3 linked regions of the Oryza sativa Japonica Group genome follow. The protein of the gene in region 2 binds, or shares a complex with, the protein of the main gene of each other region. Links are inferred from orthologs where the notes say so. Each region holds a gene or a part of one and is shown on either strand. Other genes may lie near its edges.

The links. The genes of interacting proteins can lie anywhere in the genome.
Region 1: mediator of RNA polymerase II transcription subunit 13 (region 2) and mediator of RNA polymerase II transcription subunit 15a share a complex: the UniProt entries of both Arabidopsis thaliana proteins name them as parts of the mediator complex. The link is inferred for Oryza sativa Japonica Group from reciprocal best matches to the Arabidopsis thaliana genes GCT and NRB4.
Region 3: mediator of RNA polymerase II transcription subunit 13 (region 2) and probable mediator of RNA polymerase II transcription subunit 26b share a complex: the UniProt entries of both Arabidopsis thaliana proteins name them as parts of the mediator complex. The link is inferred for Oryza sativa Japonica Group from reciprocal best matches to the Arabidopsis thaliana genes GCT and AT5G05140.

What each region holds. Positions count from the first base shown.
Region 1 is NC_089042.1:28,450,866-28,455,036, forward strand, and holds the start of mediator of RNA polymerase II transcription subunit 15a, read right to left. Parts: upstream 2,815-4,171; 5' UTR 2,684-2,814; coding exon 2,526-2,683; intron 1,734-2,525; coding exon 1,622-1,733; intron 756-1,621; coding exon 647-755; intron 1-646. UniProt on the Arabidopsis thaliana protein: Component of the Mediator complex, a coactivator involved in the regulated transcription of nearly all RNA polymerase II-dependent genes.
Region 2 is NC_089039.1:22,060,894-22,064,407, forward strand, and holds part of mediator of RNA polymerase II transcription subunit 13, read right to left. Parts: intron 3,415-3,514; coding exon 3,183-3,414; intron 2,289-3,182; coding exon 2,082-2,288; intron 923-2,081; coding exon 1-922. UniProt on the Arabidopsis thaliana protein: Component of the Mediator complex, a coactivator involved in the regulated transcription of nearly all RNA polymerase II-dependent genes.
Region 3 is NC_089039.1:20,347,247-20,351,304, forward strand, and holds the start of probable mediator of RNA polymerase II transcription subunit 26b, read right to left. Parts: upstream 2,815-4,058; 5' UTR 1,990-2,814; coding exon 1,399-1,989; intron 1,299-1,398; coding exon 1,230-1,298; intron 1,141-1,229; coding exon 1,058-1,140; intron 807-1,057; coding exon 751-806; intron 656-750; coding exon 531-655; intron 426-530; coding exon 398-425; intron 317-397; coding exon 1-316. UniProt on the Arabidopsis thaliana protein: Component of the Mediator complex, a coactivator involved in the regulated transcription of nearly all RNA polymerase II-dependent genes.

The sequences.
Region 1 (4,171 bases), on a different chromosome or scaffold from region 2:
CAGGGAGAGGAAATCCAGTGCGAGAGGTTATATCGATGAAGTGATTGTGTATTGCCAATGGGCTAGACTATGATACTAATCTTTGATTAAAAAGAGAGAGAATGAGTGCTAGAAAGCTATGTGTATCTTTGGTCTTTGGGCTGCTGGCAGCAGACGTGATGGTGTGAGCCTTGCTTTGCTTTTCTACTTTGGAAGCCATGGCTGATCTAGCCTCTACTAGAACAAGCAGATTGAAGGGGTCGTCTGTTTTGATGTTGGTGCCCAAAAGCTTTGAATATGACCATGCAAGGATTCGTGGCCAGCATCCAAATGGTGTGTTTGCTATCAAGATTAGCAATTACTTAATTAGGTTCGAGTAATCAACAAGTTTGGAGGTTTCGACTGACAGGCATCTCGCCTTAATTTACTTGCTTGAGCATTATCCGATACAAGCTAAAACGAGAGAGCACTGTTGTACCCAGTGTGGCAGAGCTTCCATTGGATGGTTTCCTCTCAGAAATGGGGCTTGTAAACACACATGCAATATAGTTACATCATGAAAAATATATACAAGGACTTTTACGGTGAACAAAATATGGTACCAGCGAATATCTTACTATTACTCCAGTATTTCAGAATCGGATATTGAATATACTTCATATGATACCTGAGCCAGGGGGATTTTGGTTTTGAATCACTTGGGCGTTTCCAGGATTCTGTTGAGTCTTTGTCTCCATAGAGAGCATTTTTAGAGAAATCTTCCGCAAGTAATCAGACTGGTGATACAAAAGAATACAATGGTAAGATTTGGCTTTGTAATAAATAACTTGCCACCCTAAGTCCTGGTGGTTAGCACAATTGAAACATATGCTTCGTTTTTTTATACAATCAATTAAATTATACAAATTCTTATCTATACAGCAAACTACTTTGGCATGAATAAGCCTGATGAAGTATGAACAGGAGAACACAATTGGAATTTGGAGATTATGAATCCCTATACCCAGCCAAAGAAGCTCCTACAAAAATGTTTACCAAAATGAAGTGGGATATATGATGACATACTCGCTAACACAAAAGGAAGGACTGGAGTAAACCATTGTTTGATGTTTCATCTGGGATAAAGGGAATATTTTACAGGTGATTTATACAAGCATGAACAGATGGAATGATGGGCTTACAGAACTCAAGGTACAACTCCTGTACTTTTAACATGGCCAATGAGAGAAACCAGTCTCATGGTAAAAATATTGTTTAGTTCTATAATTCATTAATACTAATTTACTATTGAGATATGTTATCAATGAAAATAATGTGGGGACATCAACACCTCTAGCATAGGACTGAATCAGTCTTAGTCCCTGTATCCAAGGCGCAAAGGAGATTTTCCCCCGATAATGGAAGGGGAAAAGCTTCAGCAGCCTTGGATAATCTGATTTAGGTGGAAGTGCGAAATATTACAATCGGTTCAAAAGAAAATGTGGATACTTCACGGCGAAACTCTAACAAACTTCAAAATCAACAGACATATTTGCAAACATTGGACGATCGATTTCTTCTACTAAGATCCCAAATGCCATGCTTGAGCCCCACAACTGAAAGATTGGATCAACCCGATGAGTTAGCAAGAGGCTAAGTGTACCTGGCTGGTGGCTGCAGTATAGATTTTCTCTTCAAATCGCACTGCTATCTTTTGAAGTTCATTCAACCCCTCAGGCACTGATACTGGTAGATGCTTCTTCAGAGTGTCCATTCTGTACGCAGATTGCAACAAGCAAGTAAATGACGAATATATCCCATGCAGAACGAGAGAGAGAGAGAGAGAGAGAGAGAGTGCTTTTGAGATGTTTTGTGCAAAAAAAAAAAGAGAAATGTCACCTAAGGCATAATGTGTCAGTCTACCATTCAAGATGTTGGACAAATGAGTAGGCATAGCCCAAGTTACGCGCTCAAATATAGTGGCTATGACCAAAAGTGGACAACAGCTACAAAGGACTCGCGGAGCGAGAGTGGCACATACATGATCTAACATAACGAAGTAAAATAAACGAGAGAGGTAGGCGGTTTCTCCAACAAACAGTTTGCCTTGCCATCATAGTTCCCTGACCCTCAAAGGGAAGATCCATTTGAACAGAAGGGGTGCATCTTCCAAGCAAACCTCTATACTGTAATAACTGTGTCTGATGAAATGTAAATTGAGTTCAATTGGATATGTAGACTAGGTGAACTAGACAAGAATGTCAAAGCTAATAAGAATCTGAAAATAGTTGGGGAGGGATTGGAGTTGGACCTAACTAACAAAGTAAATAATAATAAATAAATAACAGAAACACAGGGGCACGGAAGGGGAGATTATGATGAGATTACAACTAGCTACGTAGGAGTAGATCGGATCAGAGTTGCATCATATTGAATCGACCACAGGCACAAAAGGATGATGCGATGTATGGATCTTCTATTTTATTTTATATAGTTGATGAAGAGAAGAAAAATTGGGGGAAGGGAAGGGAAGGGAAGTGGGTGGGGGGAGAGGGGGAAAGCCCTACATCTTGTTGACGATCCTGTTGCGGGCCTCCGACTGGAGCTGGGAGCGCCAGTCGCCGCCGGCGAGGGCGGGGGCCGGGGCGTTGGGATCGATGCCCCCAGAGGCGGCGGGGTCGGCCCCCTGGGTGGGCCTCCAGTTGCCGCCGCCGCCGCCATCCATGGCTCCTCTTCTTCTTCTTCTTCTTCGATTGCAATTTGCGAGGGTTTGGTCTTCGTGGCGGCGGCGACCACAAGACGGAGCGAGCGAGCGAGCGAGCGAGGTAGGCTAGAATCGGAGTCTCGCCTCGCCTCGGAGGAGAAGAAACCTCGGGGTTGGACCGACCTAGTATTTATTTCGCATTTGCCCCCTTGTACTTACAGCATACTCCGATTGCGTTTCCTTTCCCCTTGCATACGGTAGCATGGCGTTAACCCTAACTTTTTTATACTAATAAAATATAATAATAAATTTATGAAATATTTCAACATTTGCAAATGCCAACTATATATAAAAACCCTTCTCTATTAGAACCCCTTCAGCATAATTATTTTGTAAATAAAGCTACACATAAATACATGTTACCGTTTTGGATAAAACCCTCTATGGGTAGTATATTGAAATAAATACCCTTTTAATAAAGAAACATAGCTATGGCTATTTTATACGAACCTTTGAAAAGGAATTTGCCTTCGGAAAATTAATTACAAAATAATATATATTAGTAAAGTATTTATTAAAAACCCTATTTGCAAAATATAATTCATAATAGGCTATTTTCAAAAGATATGACCTTCTCACACAACGTCTAATTTTCCCTCAGGTATAGCCTAGTTTGCATGTTAGGATTTATTGTTTATTTGTGTGTGTTTAGAATTTGTGCCATAGATTTTGATTAAACCCTATCTCTAGAAAGGACACCCTTTCCTATACCTTTCTTTTTCCATCCTTACCTTCTCTTACCTTCGCGGTCTAATTTGTTATGTGCTTCGATGCTAAATAAATCAATGACCCAAAACTTTTTTGTCCTATCGCGATATTGTTGCTCTCTCAAACTCTCGCCCAGCGATTATTTAAAATCACTCCATCAATTCAAACCCAACACTCTCCCTTGACTATCTACAATCGATCGGCGTATTTATTTATCATGCGTCAATTCAATTATCTCCGATTCTATTCCTACCGCGACGATTGGATTTGTATGCTACGCGTTGTCCCTAAAATCCTTTCTTCGCTACCGTCGTTCGTTTGTACGAACACTCTCAAAATAATCCTACAACAACCGATAAATTCATTTATCGTGCGTTAACCCTAAACTCCTATTTGGCAATACGGTGCATCCATCCAAACAAAGTCTCATGTTGCAATCCATTTATTCTGCCCTCGTGCATTCTCGGAATATCTATACATACCACAAATCCCATTTCCAAAGCACTGTCCAAGTCACACCGTCCCACCACAAATACAACGTCCAGTCATACAGTCCCAATTATAAATGTACAGTCCTATTACACGAGTTGACCTATAGCCAAATGACCAATTATACAATATACACCATACCGTCCCATCCACATTTACAGTCCAAGTATATTTCTAGTCCAAACACAGAGCCAAAATCAATATCCATATTATACGGTCCATTTATACAGAGCCGAGCCAAATTACAAATAC
Region 2 (3,514 bases):
CATCAATAGATAGCCTAGCTGGTATATTTTCTTTCCTTTTTATGTCATATTTGGGGACAAGATCTAACTTGTTGCTGACATCTGTATGCACAAGACTGGATAATGCACTTTTTAGCTCAGCAGATGCTTTGCTACTCAAAGACAATAGTGTATGCCTTATTCTACACATGGCAGCCTGGAACTTGATACATTCCATTTCAGTTGCAAGAGCAGTCTTCATAGATAGTAGGAAGTATCCAGCATTAAACATGCTGTCACTCTTCCTTTGAGAAACCACAGAAGAATCAAGTGAAGTCTCACCAGAAATAGGTCTTGATGCTTCCTCCTTGCCTGATTGTATGTCAGTGTTTTTTAATCCTTTGTCACTTTCTTTTTTCCCAACTTGGACAACTGTGTATAAGTTTGATGAACCAATATCACGTGAAAGATTACCAGATGCTAGTCTAACAGACTTCTCAGGCTTGTCTTCTCCAGACTCCATTTGAGAACTTTGTGCAGCATCATATGAATAAACTCTTGAGTTAAAACTAGAACTCCCTGGTTTTATGGATCTGGGCTGGTAAGGATTTGTAAACAACGATGTTGGTGTCTCACCGGTGGAAATTTCAATAGCTGCATACTCGGGTGCATAAGTGAGCAATGCTTCAGCTCTGGTCAGATGACTAGATCTACCAGACGATAACACAACTGATTGGGAGCTTGTAGGCGACGCAATATCTTTCTGAGGCTCTTGAACCTTAGAAACAACATCATGAATAGGTGCTACAGTTTGGTGGTTAAATACCTCCAAAGATGAGAGACCAACTGGAGAAAATCTTTGTTCAGGTATATCCATAGCTGTCGACGGACTATCTGTGAATGTGGCATCCCCACAGTCAGGACCGGGGATCACCAGAGAATGTGATTCAGCAGTACCTGGAGGCTATATAAATTGTAGGTAGGTTAGAACATTGCAATTCTGAGCCACAATGGATGCAACAATCATGTTCTATTTCTGTTCAAGGAAAATGCAATTATTGTGCTCGAAATTGTTTAGATCTGCCGAGCAGAATTTCCTAATATTTTCTGTTCATGAATAGTTTGACAACTGTCTAAATTAGAAGGCAAACAACATGAGGTTGTGCAGTAGAAGAAAATTCCTCCACAGGCTTTAGGCGAAATCGCAAGCAACATGTTTCAAGGCATGTAAGCTGTGAGGAATTCTATAAATGGTCGTTCTTTGCAATTTATACACTTAAAAGGGCAGTAATGAAGCCACCTGTTATAATCTAGACTCTTAAAACAAGCAGTAGAGGCAGTTATAATCTAGACTCTTAAAACAAGCAGTAGTGGTTTTTTGAGTAAATTTCACAAAATCCCGGGTTTGGGAGCATGTGTAACGGAAAACCCCTTATATTGCGATTTGTTTCAAGGAACCCCATGTTTGGAGGCAAAATGTTTCAAGAAACACTACATTTAAACTTATATTGTCTATTTGGCTAATAGATTTATGCATAATAATTGCAAAAAATAGTATGTGATATTTTGTTAATTAAGTATATATGTATTATCCGCATTTTCAACATGTGTTAATTATCAAAAGTATAAACCATTTTGTGTTTATGTAACCGGTTAATCTGTCATCAACAGTGAGGACTGTGTTGAGTATGTGCAATCATTGAGTGCGAGAGTGATGAAGATAAATTAGACATGAGGAAGTGCATTTTGAGCCTACTTATATGTGAATATATATTAAAAATACCATATATAATCATGAAAATGAGTATTTTATATAAATCTGAGTTCCTCAAAACATTTTGCCCCAAAACATGGGTTCCTTGAAACAAATTATAATACTTCGTTATGCATGGTTTTGTGAAAATTGCCCATTTTTGTAAAAAAAAAAAAAAAAAAAGGTTACGCAGCAGCACAAAATGCAACAGTAGGAATTACAAAATATAATCTTAGTTAACAGAATTTGACTACTTCTATACTTGACAGAATATCTCAAAGTAGCATAGATTCACAGTATTATCATTAGTCCGAGTAAATCCTTGGTTGATTGGTAAACTACAGAAAGATCATGGGACATGACAGCATACCTCACCAAAGTCTAACTCCTCTTCTTGAAAGAAGTCACTAAAATCTCCAAACTCTGATATTAGTAAATTGATGTCCATCGCAACCCCCTCCTCATCCCAGCCCCAAGAACATCTACCTTGACCATTTACCCCTTGATTGTTATCCACGGATTCTTTACCAGCACGAGAAGAAACTTCTGGTATTTCAGAACGAGGCCGCTTGGATACCTGGTTTCACAGGTACAGAACATCAAGGTTACAGCAATGCCATTACGTTCATGTAACACGGGCACACGGCACAACAATAGCATGATCGTGTAATACCATTTTCATATTGTTGCACAAAAGTTAAGAATATAAAAGGTGCCAGATGCAGAAAATTCATTCACCAGAGTCTTCATCCACACTTGGCTTGCATGTGGGAAGAAAATATTTGATCTGATAGGTTTAGCATCAATGGGCAAATACATGGACATCCGTGTTTTAAGTGAACATAGGTCTGAGTGGATCGTATTTACTCACAAATTAGACACAAACACTTTTACACGTAAGAAGGTACATCTATAAGCTTCTATGAACTTCATAATGTGTCGTGTCATGTACAAAAGGTCTACTGGCATTTGGTTTATCTATTTCTATCCAGATTTTCATTTCATTTATCCACAATACCAAACCATTTGTTAATTATAGTGATACCATTTACAGGAAAGAAAAGAATATATTAAGTATGTCAGTCCTCTAATTAACATATTACATTAGATTAAAGCCTATTGGGAGATGGCACAAAAAAATGTTTGGGCATCACTAATAGCATACACCATTTCTGTAGACCATAAGAAGGATGTAGCAACACATGGTTGACATGTCTTATGCGTTTCCAAAATAAATATGTTATTTAAGCATACCCTATATTTGCATCTGTGCCTCATTAAAGATGAATCACCAATAAGATCGTAAGAAGGATGGAAGAGTATACATATTATTGTGTTAATAATAGCTTAACTAGTGATTAAAAAAGAAACAGTATTTTAATAGCAAAGTATAAAAAGGCTATAAGGCTATGTGTGAATTAAGGTTCACTTTTTGGGGGGAGGTAAATTAAGAAGGATTGTAACAAAGTACCATCTTGCTACCAGCAATGTTGGATGGCAGATCAGACTGATGGCATGCCATAGAGTCTGCATCAGCTGAAAGGTCACCACCTTCAGCAGCAACTGCATGTTCACTTCCATTGGAAGTGCTACTAACACTACTGATACTACTGGCCATGCTGCTGTAATTGCTGTTCTTCTGTCTCCTTAGTCTTAGAAAATTAGAGTTCACTCCAAGTCCACGAGATGATCCAAGGCAAGAGCTGATACCGAATCACAACACAAGATGGAAAAAAATCATGGACAAAACAAAATTAGCAATCAGGATATATTAAGAACATAAAGGATAGGCATTAATAAGTG
Region 3 (4,058 bases), about 1.7 Mb from region 2:
ATCTCAACAAAGGGCTTCTGCTGAGGAGCTGCCCTTAATGGTCTCCCAGGTCCAGAATCAGAACTCAAGGGCTTAGATTGCTTGTGAAGCATGGCCTGCTGTTTGACTTGCAAACTTGAATTTTGAGGGGTTTGTGGGTTAGCCTGCCTCATTGATGGCTCTTGCCTTGCCAATTCCGGCCTCCTGGATTGAACTTTTTCAACAGCTCCCATGTTACGGGGAGGCTCTTGCTTTGTCAAAGCTGGATGGCTTGTAGGCCTCCTGCCATAATTTTCTCTCTTATTTCCAAGGCTCCCATCATTGTTATGTCTCAAGTCTGTCATAAAATGTATAACTTGAATTATTATAGTGCACAGAAAAAAAAGGGAAACTATGTAATTTGAGTTGTTGTACTTACTTCCATCTTCATCCATTTCATCAAAGAACTTTAGGTCAGGAAGATGAAGCAGAAAGAAAAACAACAATGCAAAGTTAGAATTGTGTTCTGGACCAAAACAATCCAGATACCAGGAACAAACAAAAATTAGTACCTCAGAGAGTTGAATAGCAGTAGTCTGGGTTGCAAAGAACGCCCCTTCATCCAGAGGTGGAGAAGGAAGCCCTTCATCATCAGCATCATCGACAACAGATGTTTTTGAAGAGCCCGGGGAGTTGTCTACAGATCAAAAGATCCATTACATGTTAAGAGGTGAACATTCACTTACAAATTGATGACTCATACGCGATATGAAACAAAATAACTTTTATTACCTGTAAGGGCAACATTAGTGGTGCTGACCCACTCATCAACCAAAATTTTCCAACCTCTGAAAAAAAAATGTTTTAAGACGTCAACAATGTTTCCAAAATTGGTTAATAACCACACTACAAATAAGGTAAATAATTCACTCAAGTAGTACAAAGACTGGAGAATACAGAAGCTAAATCAGTAGACTCGTATCATGTTTTCAGAAACTTATAGGTACAGTAGAGTATCAATTTGCTTCAGCAAGTTCTCTAAATTAAAAGCTAGATCAGCCCTAGAGAATGAAATTTAGTGCAAGCATATTGAACTTACTCAATGAGAGTGCGCACAAGGTGACGAATTTGCTGCGAGTTGTGCTTCCGCAGCCCATTAACAGCCCTCCCAATCTCAGTAGCCTACAACAAACAACATCGGAGATTAGCAAACCAAACAGAACCACTATGCGTCACTCCGCATAGCTCATATGCGCTATCCAACACAGTACCTTCAGCGTGGAAACGGACAATTGCATCAGCTGCAGCCTCCTCAGTGATTCGAACAAAGTAGCATCCGACTGCGAAAACCACAGTTGAGATCAAATGTTAAGTCCCTGTTGAGGAATGGCACAACTCTTACTCATGGAAGAACTGAAAGCTGGGAATAGTTCATCATACATGATCTTCCTTGTGCAAGAAGAGGTCCTTGATGCGGAGAACCTCGCCGACGACCTGTGACTCCTCGTCGATCTCGTTGGTGAGTGCCTCAAGCTCCACAGCCTCGGGGTCCAGCTCTTGTTCTTCGTCCTCTTCAGCCGGCGCCGCCTCCTGCTCCTCCTCTTCCTCCTCGTCGTCATCATCGTAGTTGTGACCGTAGTTGCTCGCCGCGGCGCGGCGGAGGCGCTCGTCGTCGGAGTCAGAGTCAGAGTCGTCATCGACGTCGTCGCGGCGGCCGCCGCCGCCGCCGAGGGCGCCGTTGCTGCTGCTGTCCACCTTGCTCTGCTTCTCGGGGACGCGGCGCACGCTGCCCTTGTCCTCCTCCACGGGGGTGGCCGGGGTCGGGGTGGCGGCGCTGCCGCACCCGTGGTGGCAGGGCGGGGCGCGCGGCGCGGTGAAGAGGATCTCGCAGATGCGGTCGCGGCGGCGCAGGAGCTCCTGCGGCGCGTCGGCGGCGGCGACGAGGATGGCGTTCTCGATCACGTCGCAGATTCCGGCGGAGCCGGCCGCCCCGCGGAGGAGCTCGCGCCACCGATCCAGCCGGTCGGCCATCGCCGCCGCGGCCACCCGAGATCGGGCTCCCCCCACCTCCACCTCCACCCCCACGACTCCGATGGCTCCCCTGGCACCACCAAGAATCGATGCCCTCTCTCGATCACCTCCTCCTCCTCCTCCTCACAATCTTGAAATTTCTTTTTCCCCTTATCAGATTACGTTGCACCAAAAGAATCTAATCCAACCCGATCGCGAATCAGATGCCCCCCACCGAGGGAATCCCCCAACCGGGAAAGCGAAATTCTCCCGAGACAGCGAAAAATCAATCTAACGAACACCGCTGCCTCTCCTCAACGCCAAGAACGAATCAATCAAGAAGAGAAAACCCCAAAAAAAAAAAACAAATCAATCCTCACACCACCCAAACCCAATCTCCCCTCCCTTCCTTTGCTTCACCCCCACGTCCACGTTACTTGACGATTTCAACCCAACAAACAAAACAGCTCCTAACCAAATCTTATCTGTGCCGTCGCCGCCGCAGGAGGAGGAAGACGACGACGACGAGGGGGAGAGGGAATGCGGGGAGGGGGGTTGGATAGGGACGCGGCGGATGGCGAGGCACACGCAACGCAAAAACGAGAGCCCACGAGAACTACGCAAGCTCGACTCTACCAAACAACAACAACTACTCCTCCTCCTAATTCCCCCGCACGCACACCACCACCACCACCATGGCCTCCTAGTGGTAACAACAAATCTCGCGTCTCCCTTTCCCAACTCCTTCCGTTCGTCTCGTTCTCTCTCTCGCGCAACGGAGGTCGCAGCTTTTCTCGGTCTAGGACTTTCCGGGGGGGCCCTTTTTTTTACCGGGTTTGGGGACACAGCCACACAGGGCGAGGTCACTACGGTTTTGGAGAGGGAGGCGGCCTCGTGGCTGTTTCTCGGCTTTGACCCTGTCGAGTTGTTGGTGGGATGCAGGTCCTCTCATGCAGTAGGCTCCCTGACATGTGAGCCCTATAGCCCCTCGGGCCCACATATTAGTGAGCAGTACGGCACATGCAGTACTGGAGAGGATCTCAACTGTTGTTGGTGGGAGTGGGACTAGTACTACTCTTTCCTGTAGTGTTTGGTTGGTAATAGTAGCATTCGTTTTTTGTTTATTGGGCTAATGATTCCCGTTTGATATCCACTTAATTCAAGTTTAGTTTTCAAACTTGGGTAGGTGAGCATCATCTACCATAATATCACTGTTATTATATAATAGGATCATCCTCTTATTTGTTTCATATATAAGTGTCTATAGTATGTGAACCAGTTGTATGCACGTACCCACCTCCATCCCAAAAGAAAAACTCAACTTACGAAGGATTGTCCATTTTTAGATGAATAGAGTACTCTCTCAATTCTATAAAAGACTAAATTAGTACGAAATATGATATATTTTAATACTATAAATCTGAATAGACGTTCAACACTATGTTATTTTTTTTATGGAACCAAGAAAATACGTGCATGCAACCGTAGCCGCCGTAGGCCACTCAAATTTTAAAAAGTAAACTTGGATTGTATCTATATAAATATATTTGTGGTATTAGAATGTGTCACGTTTCGGTAATAGGGTGGTTTTTTTATGGAATGGAGAATGTGCTTTAGGAGTACTATTAATTGTTGAGGCCCAATGGACTATTTTTGGCATCATTTTCGAAACATGGTGCGAGGAAATAGTATTGGATTAGTAAATGCCAATCGATGGTTTGATATAGTATAGCACAGTAGTACACCGTAGGATCAAAGAAATATTTATGCTCTGTATAGCTTCTTCTTTTTTGAATAGAAAAAGAATGGAGTACTTTTAGCATCCTTTTCAAAACAAGGTGCTAATGTAGTAGCGAAATCTTGGATTAGTAAATGGCGATCAAGATTGATTAGCAATATACGCTGTATCATCAAAGAAAATATTTAGGCGGCAAATACTCCTTTCTATTTATAAAAAACTGAGCTATCTATTAACAGTGAAATTTGATAATCGACAAAGGCGTCATCGGCTTAGAATCATTATCGGCTGTAGCATCTCGGAATCAGCCGATGAGAGTTATCAAGTCACCAATAGTCGAATTCCTGCTATA